Linked DNA regions of Bombyx mori. The protein of the gene in region 1 interacts with the protein of each later gene in a pairwise test. Links are inferred from orthologs where the notes say so. Each region holds a gene or a part of one and is shown in the gene's direction. Other genes may lie near its edges. The genes, in order: disks large 1 tumor suppressor protein, mucin-2, vang-like protein 1 and potassium voltage-gated channel protein Shaker.

Region 1 (3,570 bases):
TTATTTCGTGCGGCCGCTAACAACCAATCTGTCTGAAGTTGGGTTGTCTTTACATTAAAGCTATGCTTTACCTAACAACGATTGAGTCTTAAAAGACGAACTGTTTTAGTCAAATGTATTTTCTTATTTTATTTCAATTAATTTACATTTAACTCTTCGTACAACTCACAATTATATTATTATGGCTAATGTTAAATAAAATTATTATTATTTTTGGTTTATCGAAACGATTCAGCGTGTAGGTACTATTTACAATACTCGGTATTCTTAAACCGTACCGGATAAGTGTGAGTAAACTGTTGCTTTGTAGTATTCGTGGAAGAGCATGGTGTCGCCTAACAAAAAAAAAAAAAAAGAAATCTTGGCAATGTTTTTCATTTCCCGCCGTAACTTTGTCGCTTGTCGTTGTTTTCTGACAACGGCCCGGCGGCTAATTAATTATCTGTGTTTTAGTTAGTTTTTGTATTTTACAAAGAGCTCTTCCCATGCGGTCGGTCTTGTACTTTTGATTCATTCGAAAGTATCCGATGTTAATAATAAGTTTTCGGAATTCCCAAGCTACTGATAAACATTTAATTCGGTATGTTTATATTGTAGTTATAGCGAAGAAATAATTAAAAAAATATATGTAATGATGCCATTTTTAATTGGTTGTGTTAAAAAAATCGTGTCAGATTCCGAAAATTCGTGTGAACACGGTTTGCTTGGGAAGAGCTCAGTGAATATAATGGATGTTGAACACGTAGTTAATGTCGGCATTACGAACGGGTCGCAGCGAGCACGCGGGTTGGTTTGAGACTCGTCCGGCCTCAGTCCCGTGCTTCTAGTTGCCTAACCCGATACCGATACGGACACGACTTCAATCACTCATTCGACAAACGTATTTTGAGTTGCTATTTATTTTATTGGGCGCTATTCACGATTCTGTATAAATATATTTTCGAATCGAGATGTTTCGGACAATTAGAGCGAGTCTGTGGCTCCGTAGTATTTTTTTTCTTCCGGTTCGCCCCCCCCCCCCCCCCCCCCCTCCGTAAAACGGTGTACGTACATGTTTGAAGTATATGTAACATTAATTTTTGTACGTATAGGAGAAATCTTGTATCGAGTGGAACTTCCCATGATGGAGGAGATAACGCTCATATATCTCGAGGACGAGAGTAAGTTTTGGGAGTGAGGCGTAGCTTGCGAGTGCAGTAGCCGATACCTTACCTCCCGCATTCTGGTTATGATCATCAATTAGAAATGTAGTTTTCATTCAAATAACACTCCAATTTTATTTTGTTTATTTGACATTTCTTTCGTTCAGTTGTTTTACCTTTTTTTGATTTCATAAAACGCGATTATATCTAATAGCCTCTCCGCACTCGAAACTCTGACCATCGTGCTCACGAGATTGTTTGGATCATTAGAATGGTGTTAGGGGGGCGCAGGCTCGGTCTGAGTGAGCGGGCAGCGCGCGGGCCACTGGAAGCACACGGGGACACGCTACACGCGTCGTGCTTAGCTTTGTCCGTCGGAACGCACAACGCAGCGTTGTGCGGTATCTGACGCCCGATTGTGCGAAAACGTCACTCATCGCTGACGTTATCGTCTTCTCGCATTAAAACTGTATAATCTCAAAACTAACTAATTTTACAGGAGAGTGTTTTAAAGGTGTAACATGTGATATTTTTAATATTAATCATCTTTGCAACATTTATTTCTTATTTTTTACCAGTTAAGTTATCTGTCTTTTAAAGTAAGATAAAATTATTTATTAATTTTGTTAATAGCAGTCAATACATAAGTAAACTAAAAAAAAAAACTAAAACTAAACTACGCTCTTTTGATAGTATTTATGAGAAAAATACTGGTGATACCAAATGATTCCGCATATTAACTCAATTTCGAATATTTTTGGAAATTGTACACTTTTAATGCGAAAAGACGATATGCGATGACGGAATCGATTACAAGACGCTTTCGCATAATGAATATAGTCCGACACGACACAATACGTTCGGTTGTGCGTTCCGATTGAACAGTGTGCTTAGTGCGAGTTTTTTAACGTTCTCGATAGCGTAAAGTTAACTCAAATTTGTATGCAGTTCGGAACAGCGCCCCTAGCGGCAAACGTAGGCAAACGTTCCAACTCCATACAAATTCAAATTAACTGTTACGCTATCGAGGGCGTTAAAGAACTCTCACTAAGCACACAGACCTTAGCTTGGCGCGTCACGCGCATGCTCACTCCACGCACGCATGTCGCTCACTAGTTACGAGTCACGGTACGCGAGACGCGACATTCTCATGCGAGCTTTGTTTACAGTTTGTCAAATACGCTCTGCTGGTTTATTTATAGATTTAGTTTTTTGTCGCTTCAAAACGTAATAGGGGACGCTGTAAATTTTTTCAAAGCCTTATGTTACTTTATGTTCGTCTTCAGCTGTGATATATGACATACTACATTGCTTTTTAATGTGTTTAATTATTTTTTATTGAATTACATTGATTACATTGATTTTTGTATTCAAGCCAGACCACTGTAATGATGAATGGATTTAATTGTCGAACTTAAAGTATCGTAGAAAATTGTTACATAAATATTTCTTCTTTTATATTTCTGGCTTCAATATGACAATGTTCTAAATTACGTTTTACGATTTTACGAAAAAGCATGTACTTATAAATGATTTTAAATCAGTTTCTAAATGAATAGCAAAAGTTATTGCTTTGCCAAATAAGGTTTTTCGTGAAGTGTTTTTTTTTCTCTCTCAATACAATACATATTGTACGAAATAAGTTTGTAGTGAAACCATTCGAGTTAGTCTAGAGAATGCTTGTGAACTAGATACCAGTAAAACGAAATATTTAATAATTTAGGTAGTTTCCATTGAATAGATGAAATTATATCATAGAATAATTTTCATAACTATAAATACACATTTATATTATATATATATATCAAACAAATATCGCTGTGATACGCTGATCTCTGTGAATAACCATAATCATTTGAAATGGTTTTTGATGTAGAAAAAAAATATATATAAATTTGTATGGCACGGGTATGGCACGGATTTGCTACATACAACACGGGTAGCACGAAATTGAAATCTACAAATAATTCCTGGTTGGTTTCAAGGGAACAGTTTAGTGATGCCACGTAATGACTACTTTAGTGATACCACGTAATGATTACACGTTAAATGTGATTAAAACTGATGTGTACTGCGCGTGAATGTTTACAGGTCAAGACGAGACGGTGTTGTCTTACGAAACAGTTCAGCAATTGACGATCGCGTACACTCGGCCCGTGATAATATTGGGCCCATTGAAAGATAGAATAAACGACGACCTCATTTCCGAGTTCCCTGACAAGTTTGGAAGCTGCGTGCCTCGTGAGTAATATAAAGAGAGAGAGAATACACTTTATTGCACACCAAACACAATTCACATTCAAAAAACAGTCAAAAAGCAGATACATTTGTACAATAGGCGGTCTTATCGCTAAAAGCGATCTCTTCCAGACAACCATTTAATTTACAGAAATTTTGGAAAATATAAAAATATAGCAGGTATGTTGCG
Region 2 (4,196 bases), on another chromosome or scaffold:
GGTGGTAGATTCTGCGAAGCACTGCTCTTGCTAGGGTCAGTGTTAGCATCACACCCGGTTTGAGCCCCGTGAGCTCACCTACATGTCAAGGAGAAGCTGAAATAGCATCTCAAGGCTATCAGCATAGGGAGGAAAAAAAATCAGGACTACATAATTATGGTACAATTTGGGAATAGACTAAATTGTACTTATTTTTACAATATATACTCATATTACCAATGTGCTCGATGCACTACAATTAAATCAAAAACGACAAGGCGTCCATTTTTTATTTTTGTAAACATTTTCAAGCTTGATAGAATCTTTAGAGTTTAGAGTATGGAATTGAAAATGGTTTTTAAAAATGCAAAACAGCGGCATCTATGATCTAATATCACGAAGAAAAACAGGAAATAAAAATCCCGTGCCATCTCGTGAGCCGCAAACGAACAATTTAAAGCGGTAGGTCAAAAAGTATGAGTTTGCCACTTTCGCATTAGAGTACACCTATGTCTTCCTAGATGGCGCTAAATTAAATTTTATAAAAATAAATAATGTTGCTATGTTAAAAAAGAAATATTTAAAACATGGTTAATTTTAACTATTGTCGAATTTACGAAAAATAATATAATTTAAATTAATTTAACTACAAAAAAGACATGAAGAACAACGGACAAGGGAAGCTAGTTTGCTTCTCTTTATTACAGTTTTTCCAAGTAAACTAATCCGAAAATTGGTTCTACAAATCGTTAATACTTTGAATAAAAACCAACGAAAAACCAATTGGCATAAAAGTGTAAATTTAACATAATATATTTCGATCTTTATTTTATCCCGTTTATTACAATCGTTCTCGAAACCAGGTTGAACGCAGGATTTTATTTCATCCCTGTTGCAGGTCCACGAAGTTTGAAATGAATAAAATTGCATTTCGTTTATTAAATGAACGTTGTATTCTGCCTAGATCCAGATAGCTCGTTATCCATTTTTATTATCAATAAAGGTTGCAATACGCCCTGTCTATCAACCAAGTTACTAGTGATAGGTCATATAGATATAATAAAGCTGTATAAGGAATAAAAAGTCTAGTTTTGCCGCGAAGCCGTTATCCTAAACTCGTTAGAATTTTAATGTGTAAGCTCTGTATATAACTTTTTTGTAAAACAAATAAGACTTCTGACCTCATGTCTCATAGTAAACGGTAGTTTTCATATAGTGGTGTCTGTGGGTTTCGGTAACCACTCAAAACCAGTTCAGATGGGTTGATTAATTGTAATCTAATATCATAATTTAGATTAAATTGGGTAAGACTACAGCTGATAAAAATCATTGGAAGTTTCGCTATATATGCTATTCTTAGTGCTGGTATCACAATTCGTTGTGAACATTTTGTTCCATTCGATTCCATTCATTCTGCAGACAGCATTGAGTAGGGAGTGTGGTGCGTGTTGCTATGATAATGGCGGGATTTCGTAAACAAGAAGTTTCTTTGAAACTTTTCTGAACTTATTATCTGAGTTAAAATATTTTCTCATCAACTAATACGTAACCTGAACTGCATGTCTTAGCAAAAACAAGGGTTTTAGTGAAAGTTCACCGGTCAGGATGTCGGTTAATTCAAAGTGGCGGTTACCTGACGTTTTTTGTGATAATGTGTTGAATGGATGTGGGAATTACATTTAATTCGCAGTGCGGGAATGGGTGAATGAATATTTCGGAACTAATATCGAGATGCCTTTCGTGCCACGTGCGGTCGAACCTAAGTATTTGTCACGGACAAGTTTGCGAGACGAAAATGGAAAGCCAAAAATTGCCGATGAAGAATTACAAGCTGTAACTAACTGCACTTTGACGAATGCGCTCAGACAGCTCGCCTCGCTCGTGCTTCTTGCCGAGGATATATTCAGCGAGCTAACAGAGCAGCTGCAAGAGATAACAATACGGTCTAAGGCGGCACAGACGAAGATCGAAAAAATCAACGAAGTGGTCATTAACTTTGACCCGAAGAAAGTGCCAGTCCGTAAGTACTAAACCTTACGTATTACAATCTTGAGTCGAATTTAAATCAGCCATCAGCGTAAATCACCAGTTTCTTACGACATCACATATATTCCGCTTAGAAAGGCGGCAAATTACTATTACAATAGTAGGTGGGCAGACGAGCTTAAATCCCAACTGGTATGAAGTGGACAGCGACAATCGTAAGTAGCCAAACAGACTTAAACTACGACATTGTACCAAATATTTTCAAGAGATCCATCAAATGTTTCCGTCATTAATAATAAGGTATTATGGTGATAATGATAGATACCTAGTTAATATCAACCATCACCGGTTACCATTAACAATGTCTGGCAGCTGCTTCCCTCATCTACTACTAGAAGCTTATAAAAACTCTTGAATGTACCAAATATTTTCAAGAGCTCCATCAATTTTTTCCGTCATTAATAATAAGGTATTAATACAGTATTAAGGTGATAATTATAGATAGTTAATATCAACCATCACTGGTTACCATTAACTTATATCTGGTAGCTGCTTCCCCCATCTATTACTAGAAAAACTCTTGAATAGTTCTTCCTACAATTAGTAGGTATTATATACCAGAACAAACATCAAAATAAGTAAAGTACGTATCAAAGTACGTATCTTAAAATATTTAGGTTTATATCCAAAATTTGGAATATTACTGATAACCCAAAAAGGTCTCGTTTAATGAAGACATAAACCTGATTGCCGGTTCTCTGAATAAAGTTAGGCAAATTTATTCGCTCTGAGATAACCATTGCCAATAACACATTAATCATTGTTATATCGAATTAGATCAAGAATCTAGTACGATGCGAATTACGATATAATAACAGGTAACTAACTTCAAGGACGTAGGTAAATCATAATAATTATAATTTTAGAAAGAAATTATGTTTATTTCTGCATTTGACATAATATGTTTTGTAAAGAGATTGTATCCTGAAGTCGTGATGTTATTATTATTAGGATTCAGAATTTAAAATAAGAATGCATTCTATGTGATTGCATTAGTAAACAAACAAAAGCATCCACATTATTCCACGAGTATTTAATAATTAAATATATATAAAAGTATAAAATAATGTTATACAGTTACAAATTGGTATAACGTAAAATATTGTATAGATTAAAGTTAGAATATTCTCGAAAAGTCTTACAACAATTTTACGGCGGCTTTTCGAAATAGAAATGAAACGGAACTCTTTATTGTAAATAATTGGTAGAATTTATTGTGTCTGCTCAGGTCGGTACCAAGATCCAGTTTCATTCTGAGCGCAAGTTTAAGGGAGGAAAATTACTAAATTCGAAACTTAGATCTCATTTTTCATGCATCTTTCATTTATGATTCGCGCCTGGACTCTGACGACCACTTGTCTACCAATCTATTTTTTTTTTAAATAAACCTTGAATTACAACTTATTATCATTCCATTACTATGTACCTCAGAGAAGTTGAATCTGCCGCTCTTACAAAAAACGCATGACGCATTGTAATGCATTACCGAGCTCTATCTAAAACCTGTTTTGGAGTTCGAACGGCCCGTGATAGAAAAAAAAAAACACCTCCCGGATTCCAATGCGAACCATAAAAACGTTTCGAGATAATTTCGAACCATCCAGTGATCAAGCGCCGGCTTGTGATTCCGACCGCTCAAGTATTTAACACTTGAATACTGCGATTCGTTTTTTTTTATTTTTATTTACAGAACACACGCTATTCATAAACCCACTCGCTATGAACATTCTTGAACGTTCTGTAATTCTAGTTATATTCACTTACTAGCTGACCCGGCAGCCTTCGTAGTGCCTCAACCGATAAATAAAAGACCTAAACTTTTGTATAAAATAAACTTAAACAAAAGGAATCCGTCCGACGGAGCACACTTAAAAGGAAAAACAAAATTGTATTTTTTTTATTTAATTCCGAGTATTTTCATATTTATCTACCTTTTAAACCTTCTCTGGACTTCCACAAATAATTCAAGACCAAAATTAGCCAAATCGGTCCAGCCGTTCTCGAGTTTTAGCGAGACTAACGAACAGCAATTCATTTTTATATATATAGATTTAATTTTCGCTATTTGGTACTTGATTACATTACACGAATCGCTGGTTCTGACGTAGAAACGGAAAAACCCAGCAGTTTTTAATTTGTTCTTATTAGTACGGCTGGACCACTTTATACCC
Region 3 (4,317 bases), on another chromosome or scaffold:
TGAGAACCTGTTCGAGTTTCCAAAGTCGGAAGAGAATCGATTCGTATTGCCACCTTCAACCACGCTAGTGAAATCTGAAGAAAATCGTGCTTGATTAATATTTTCTCTATGTTGGATGACAGGATCGATGATTTCTTTAGCGTTTTTATTTGATTTGAATACAACAACATCTGTACCGTCGTCCTCTTGCGCATTGCTAGGTAATGGCTCGTTATTAATCGAACTGTTATTCGTTTGTCTTGACTGTTGCCTCTCATTCGAAACACGAGCTTGATTAGAAAATATAACTTCATCTTCGTCTTCAACTGCCTCTCTTAGCATATTGTAAGTGTGTCGGATAACTTTCTCGATGTAAATAGGACGAGTGTATGAGGCCAAAAACAGACAGTTTTGCATCACAATAGCACCGTAGATCATGACTACAATGTCGCCAGTGTATACCGTGCAAAGATAGCCGACTAGTATTGGTATCAAGCAATTTCCTACTGAAGGAGCCATCCGGACTATCCTCTGAGCCATGGTCAGTTTTTCCCTGAAGAAGTGTGTTATGATGACCTCTGTTTGCTGACCCGTTAATGCGCAGCCGATACCTGAAAGCACACGAATAACAATTTACAGTCGTTTGTAGATCTCGCAAATGCTTTCCGCACCTGTTTAAATATGACTATTAATCGTACAAAAGATTCGTAGTATGTTTTCAAATAACAGTTGAGTTTTTTCTGATGTGTTATAATTATTATTAAGAACAATGATGCGAATTCCGACTAAAATGAATGAGTCCCGACTTATTTACACTAGACTTTACTGACCTAGTGCTATTTTACTAGCGTATAACATTTACGTCAGACCTATAAATCTCGTAATATGCAACAATCATTATTTATATTGATAATTCATCTGTCATAATTCTATATCTATTTTAATTTGTCTATATAGCATGAATATAATATTTTGCATCTGTTATTTACCTGCGAATATGCCAGAGAATATATTCACAATGTGGTCATTGGTTGTGGCATCAGTGGAGTAGCTAGAGAGCAGAATGCCGGCTACCGTCAGGCATAAGCCGGCAAGCGCCATGAACCTCGGCATGTTGAATATCTTCACGATCGCTCGACACCATGACTCCAAGAGTAACCTTATGACAACCATAATTACTGGTACGAGGGCTATGTCTACGTCCCATATTTTCAACAATTCTTCTTTTTCATGGCCCTCTTCTCTGATCGCCTTCAATATGATTAATCCGTACAATGTTAACACTGCAGGCACTGTTATGTGGTAAATCACCGCAGATACAACTATCAACCAACCGTAACCACCGTCAGGTGGCGTTGGTCCAATTTCTGGCTGTGAAGCGACAACCCTGTCCAGATGTAAATCTTCTGTCCGGTTTTCGACCCTGTCGGTCTGTCTGGCGTCGGTAAGAGTTGGATTTTCCATTTTTCTAAATGTGTACAAACAAAAACTTCATGTTCAAACTAGTGAGTAGTCAATGAGTTATCTATAAGGTATGGGTTCGTTATCTTATCATTTATCATTTTGCGTAATCACCTGTGCTACATTTTTGAAATCAGTGCCAAAATATCACAATAAAATAAATGCCTAAGGCTCATAAAAAATATAATTGATCAGTAAGGCTCTGTACTTATTAAAAAATCGAAAGGTATAAATAATTTTACATGCAAATGTGATAAATTTGATTTAAACTAAATTAAATTTATTGACTTGAAGAGAAAAAGTAATAAACATTTCAATTATAATTAAGTGCAAATATTGGTTTTCGAATGCACCCACAAAAAATATACGGCTATGTTTAAAAGTCTTACAGAGGTTATGAATAAAAGAGATAGATGTCAGAAAATATTAGTGTTAACATGGAATAGCCCGACCGCAACTTCAAACACGATTTAACCTATATTATACCTACTCTTTTAATTTCGTAGTTTCGAACGGCAAAAATCTCTTTGACTGGAACACAGAAAGTAATTTTGTAGGTTTTTTTTTAATTTTAGTAAATTCATTGCAATGTAAACATAGTTTTTGTAGTGTTGGATTTATTAAATACGTTCACTATTCCTCATTTAATAAATAAAATATGTAAAATGCTTGAATTTTAATATGTACTGAAAAACAAATATTTGTGGACACGGTTCCGTGTTAAAGTTAAAACCTATTAATTATAAGCTGGAATTTGTCTGTAATGGGTCTTCGAGTTAAGATATATAATGAGTAATGGATGAGGTAGAGAAATACAAACTGCTGTTTGAGACATGGAGACAGAATCGGTGAGGTCCGAGTTGAGCAGCCGATCCCGGCGCAGCTCCAGACATAGGCACAACACGCACCGAAGCACCAGGTGAGTTTGTAATTATGTCATTCAATTTGTTGGATGGTCAAATTTGAGGGGACGGGGTTCTGAAGGTGGGCTATTTAAAAACACTCTGCTTCATGATTAATATATATTACAAACACTTTGTACACTATCACACCATTATAATATTTTATTTTTATAAAAACCTAAGATGTTGCACTGTCTGTCTCTAGATGAGAAGTCCTAGTCATGGCTGAACAGAAGACAATCATCTGTTTTAAACATTTAAATAAGCATTTCAACACTCGGAAACTTTTACTTCACATGTTACAAGTGTTGCCTGCCATTATGCCAAACTCCAACACAATTTAATTATGCTGTATGTCTTCTCACTGTAATCACTATTATTGTGAATGTTATTGATGATAACTTGATGGTCACCCATATATGGACTATTCTTGTTATTACCGATCTCCATGAGCGATGGTAACCACTCTCGACCATGGTAGAAAAAAGTTTAAATTTCAATGAGTCTATAAGCATGTAGACATTACATTATTTAGAAATTAATTTTGAAATTAAAGTTTCAATTTAATTTTATCACAGAAACTTAACAAAAACTAAACTAGGTATCTCCTAATATACAAATAGACACACATTATCTTACAAAACTTACTATTTGTAAACTTATTGTAGTCATTTAGTGTTAATATTTACTAAAACTGTCTGAGGTCCATTAACAAATGATGGAACCACTATTGAAAAATCATAAAAAAAACTAAATCACTGTATGAAGCTTTGTTTCAAAGTAGGTACTTATATTTTCATTGTAAGCTCCATTGTCTAAGAGGAAATATCAAACAAGTAATCTGTTAGCTTTGTTGCCCATCTCTGTTAAAAATATATATTGCATCCCGACATTTCGATGCATTAAATATTACTGAAGTTAATAAATATGAATTAATCATAATATATCACAAATATGTGCATAGAAATAAATTGCTCATCTTTTTAGGAGTACAAAATCACAACGGAAAGAAAGCGGTGACAACATAATGGCACCATTTCAAACAAGTGTCAACATAAACCCTGAAACAGGTAGAGATGGCCAGGAGGTAATAGAAGTTCAGATTCTCCCACAAGATGAGAACTGGGGAGAAAATACAACTGCTGTAACTGGCAACACATCTGAAGGTTCTCAATCTATGGAAGATGTCAGTAATTGGGCTATGGAGTCAGATGGTGGATTAGGTTTTGTCTGCTCAAGATACTTTGGGACAACTTTGGCTTTGGGATTGACATTTGTGGCCTTCATCAGTCCACTAACAATGGTAGTTTTACCAAAAATAGGTTTCTTTCCGGGACTGAGTGATAACATCTTGCAACCCAGTCAACAAATGGAGTTGCTAGCCTGCACAGCGGAATGCAAAGGTGTTCTTTTGTCACTGGCATTTAAACTTGTATTATTAGCTATAGGAGTATGGGCAGCATTCCTTAGGCCACGGAATGCCATTTTACCAAGAATATTTGTTTTTCGAGCTGTAACTCTAGTGATGATAGCAGTATGCACATTTTCTTACTGGCTCTTCTACATTGTTCAGATAACGGAGGCAACTAAAGCAATAGCATTAGGTGAAGATGCAACAGATTACAAAGCTCTTGTTACATATGTATCGAGTTTTGCAGATACATTGCTTTTCATACATTATGTAGCAGTAATCTTGATAGAAATAAGACATTTAGAGCCGAATTATTATATTAAAATCGTCAGAAGTCCTGATGGAGAGAGTAGATCATATGCAATAGGCCAATTAAGCATCCAAAGAGCTGCCGTATGGGTATTACAGAGATATTATACCGAGTTTCCGATATATAACCCATATCTGGAGAAGATACCAATATCGAAGAGTCAGAGAAAGGCACAATCCAGTATTAAATTTTATGATGTCGATGGATCTAACACAAATGCGGCAGGACAAACAAGGTTTGTATTATTAATAAAA
Region 4 (3,570 bases), on another chromosome or scaffold:
TATATTTGAGACCTAAGAACTTATATCTCAAGGTGGGTGGCACATTTACGTTGTAGATATCTATGGGCTCCAGTAACCACTCGACACCAGGTGGGCTATGAGTTCGTCCACCCATCTAAGCAATATATAAAAAAAATGAAAATTTCAAAATCAGAAACCTAAGATCCGTTGGAGAACCGGTTTCTCAGTTGCAGTGAGGTAGAATTGATCACTACAACATAGTGAATTTAGGGCTGCTTTTATATCAAGATTTCTTAGATGTTATTTACCTTACAATTACCATCAAATCAATTTGCTTTGCTTAGATGGGTAGACGAGCTCACTGCCCACCCGATGTTAAATGTTTACCGGAGCCCATAGACATCTACAATGAAAATACCGCCACATAGTTTGCGATATAAGTTCTAAGGTCTCAGTATAGTTATAAGGGCTGCCTCATCCTTCAAACCGAAACGCATTCTGCTTCACGGCATACAAATACACAGGATGGTGGTACCTACTCGTGCGAACCTACCAGAGGTCCTATCACCAGTAAAGTGAGTTTTAAGGTCTCACTTTTAACAGTACAATTACAATTTTAACAGTACAGCTTAATTAATTTAAATAAAATAAGCTAATAATAAATAAATGGTACAGGAACGAGTACTTCTTCGACCGGAACCGACCGTCTTTCGACGCCATCCTCTACTATTACCAAAGCGGAGGACGACTCCGTCGCCCGGTAAACGTCCCCTTGGACGTCTTTTCTGAAGAGATCAAGTTCTACGAACTGGGAGAGCAGGCCACCAACAAGTTCCGGTAAGATGATTTAGTTAAATTAGAAAATTATACAAAATTAAAGTTTCAAAATACATACTTACTTATTCGTATAAGGAAGGTCGGTGAGTGGATAAAGATAATCGTTATCTTACAGTGAGGATGAAGGTTTCATCAAGGAGGAAGAGAAGCCCCTTCCCTCCAACGAACGCCAGCGCAAAATCTGGCTGCTCTTCGAATACCCCGAGAGCTCCCAGGCCGCGCGCGTCGTTGCCATCATCTCGGTCTTCGTCATCCTCCTCTCCATCGTCATCTTCTGCCTGGAGACCCTTCCTGAATTCAAACACTACAAAGTCTTCAATACAACGACCAACGGCACGAAGATTGAGGAGGACGAGGTCCCGGATATCACCGATCCATTCTTCCTTATTGAAACACTCTGCATCATCTGGTTCACCTTCGAATTGATCGTGCGGTTCTTGGCGTGTCCCAACAAATTCAACTTCTTCAGAGACGTCATGAACATCATTGATATAATCGCCATTATCCCGTACTTCATCACCCTGGCGACCGTCGTTGCCGAGGAGGAAGACACTTTGAACCTACCGCGAGCTCCCGTATCTCCGCAAGATAAGTCCACCAACCAAGCCATGAGCCTGGCTATTCTGCGGGTAATCCGTCTCGTGCGGGTGTTCCGGATCTTCAAACTGTCCCGCCACTCGAAGGGATTGCAGATTCTTGGCAGGACGCTCAAGGCGTCCATGCGAGAACTTGGCCTGCTGATCTTCTTCCTGTTCATCGGTAAGGCACGAAATAGAATAGACACCGTACCAGTCATGTTCATACATTTTTAAATTACTCGAAACTTACCCCAAGTTTTTTAAGGATCCTTTTTGTGCAGACGTCAAGACGACATCAAGAATCACCCAAATCTAATAACGAAATTGATAATTTAAAAAATTCAACAAACTAAAAAATATTTCAAGATTTCAGTTTGTAAGACATAAAAAAAACTTGAAAGAAATCTCTCGAAGAGCGATTTATTATTAAAATACTAGTAGCACATATTATATTAACCCTATACTCTAAATTTTGCAATTCTGAATTTTATACTAGAGAAATTATGTCGACTATAAAAAAATATACACATGATTGATTACGTGTCATAATTTCGGCTTTAATCTTTTACTTTCTTTGCCTAATACTAAATCAGATGCAGACAAAAAATAAAATAGGGCGTGGGGTAAATAAATAGGGTACTTAGTAAATACTATATTACAGGATTTTGCAAGACTCGATGGGGTAGAGTAATAGTAAATATAGCGACTCGAAGTAGTCAGTTTTTTTAGTTAATAAGCTAATGTATATGATAACTCATATACATATTATGTATATGGGGACGGGCCTCATTAACATGATAATGACCTGAAAAACCTTATATGAGGTATTTTAGTGCGAAATTCGTTCCGAATTTATATAGACGCATTTTAATGAAACTAATTTAAAAGCTTAAAAGTCAAATTTAAATGACTCGATAGCCTTAGTATTAGCAAGGTTCGGTAGTCAGAAACCAAGGGTTAAATAAACATGGTTTTTTTTTTGTTTTTTTTTGTACATTACCATTTAATTTTTCTTCTAAAGCATATAATAAGAATGCAAAACACAAGAAGCTCGTGGAGTACTCGGTACAACGGATGGCATCGGAGAGCGCGCACGCACCGGGCCCAACCCACATAGTGCACATTCCGTCTTGTGTTCGCAGGGGTGGTCGTGTTCTCGAGTGCAGTTTTCTTTGCTGATAAAGAATGTGTAGAGACCAATTTTTCATCAATTCCCGATGCGTTCTGGTGGGCCGTTATAACGATGACCACCGTTGGCTATGGAGACATGAGGTAACCCCGTTGACTCAAGGCCCCGCCAGCTCGCAAGCGCTCCCCCTCACTGTATGTCGCACTGTATTCTCCGTTCGTGTGTGCTTGTTCTTAAAGGTGTGGTGCTGTTTTCGTCTGCGGTGTACTTCGCTGAAGCCGGAAGCGAGAACAGCTTCTTCAAATCCATACCTGATGCGTTTTGGTGGGCGGTCGTGACAATGACGACCGTAGGATACGGAGACATGACGTATGAAACAGCGACTACACCCTAAGTTTCATTTTTGCCTCTCGTCATTTCATTTTGTCCCACAACCTTATATTGGCATACTTAACACTATTGTTGATTTTCTTTCGCCACATCATGTAACTATACATTCGCTTCAGTTTGAGTTAATTGTCGGTTCGCTTAGAACTTAACCGATCACGTTAATTTATTTATTTCACTCTATACAAGTTAATGCACGTTCTGAGATTTTTCCTTACTGTCTCAATTGAATTTCGAATTTATTTATCTATATCATTATTCTCCACGTCGTCTGAACAAGTTTTACATGGAAGCGTATTTGTAAAATTCTCATCGGAATAATACAGTGAGCGCAGTTAGCGCAACAGATCTCGTCGCCGGTGTGACTATCGCCTCTTCCAAAGCGTATTTTAAGCCCGTATCCACTTAACCTAACCGCTTTCGTTGCGAGCACTTCACCTCTGAGAAAGTCTGGCTGCTCCCAACCTGCGCAGCTTGAATCCGAAGCGGCATCTATATACCACCACCACCACCACCGATGTTCGCTCCACAATAACGCTTACGCTATATTGTCAATGTATCCTAAATGTTTGAATGTATGCATCGATGTTGTGGCGCCTACACTGATCGACATAAGCTCATCGAAAATGGTGGCAAGAGCCGGCCGCACTGTTGTCATCATCGCATTTGTACTGTAGT

Evidence for each region.
Region 2: the proteins of disks large 1 tumor suppressor protein (region 1) and mucin-2 interact in a two-hybrid assay, tested with the Drosophila melanogaster proteins (4 studies listed by BioGRID). The link is inferred for Bombyx mori from reciprocal best matches to the Drosophila melanogaster genes dlg1 and gukh.
Region 3: the proteins of disks large 1 tumor suppressor protein (region 1) and vang-like protein 1 interact in a two-hybrid assay, tested with the Drosophila melanogaster proteins (3 studies listed by BioGRID). The link is inferred for Bombyx mori from reciprocal best matches to the Drosophila melanogaster genes dlg1 and Vang.
Region 4: the proteins of disks large 1 tumor suppressor protein (region 1) and potassium voltage-gated channel protein Shaker interact in binary tests that used the Drosophila melanogaster proteins (3 or more experiments, as listed by UniProt). The link is inferred for Bombyx mori from reciprocal best matches to the Drosophila melanogaster genes dlg1 and Sh.

What each region holds. Positions count from the first base shown.
Region 1 is NC_085118.1:7,810,982-7,814,551, reverse strand, and holds part of disks large 1 tumor suppressor protein, read left to right. Parts: intron 1-1,091; coding exon 1,092-1,160; intron 1,161-3,233; coding exon 3,234-3,383; intron 3,384-3,570. UniProt on the Drosophila melanogaster protein: During embryonic development, some isoforms are essential for proper neuronal differentiation and organization. Required for cell polarity; maintenance of apicobasal polarity.
Region 2 is NC_085115.1:5,308,163-5,312,358, forward strand, and holds the start of mucin-2, read left to right. Parts: upstream 1-1,381; 5' UTR 1,382-1,710; coding exon 1,711-1,999; intron 2,000-4,196.
Region 3 is NC_085129.1:14,699,842-14,704,158, reverse strand, and holds the start of vang-like protein 1, read left to right. Parts: upstream 1-1,471; 5' UTR 1,472-2,273; coding exon 2,274-2,359; intron 2,360-3,329; coding exon 3,330-4,298; intron 4,299-4,317. Other genes in the region: uncharacterized protein LOC101743234, read right to left, coding at 1-590, 969-1,443.
Region 4 is NC_085107.1:19,179,418-19,182,987, forward strand, and holds part of potassium voltage-gated channel protein Shaker, read left to right. Parts: intron 1-636; coding exon 637-798; intron 799-913; coding exon 914-1,557; intron 1,558-2,518; coding exon of another isoform or gene 2,519-2,648; intron 2,649-2,744; coding exon 2,745-2,874; intron 2,875-3,570.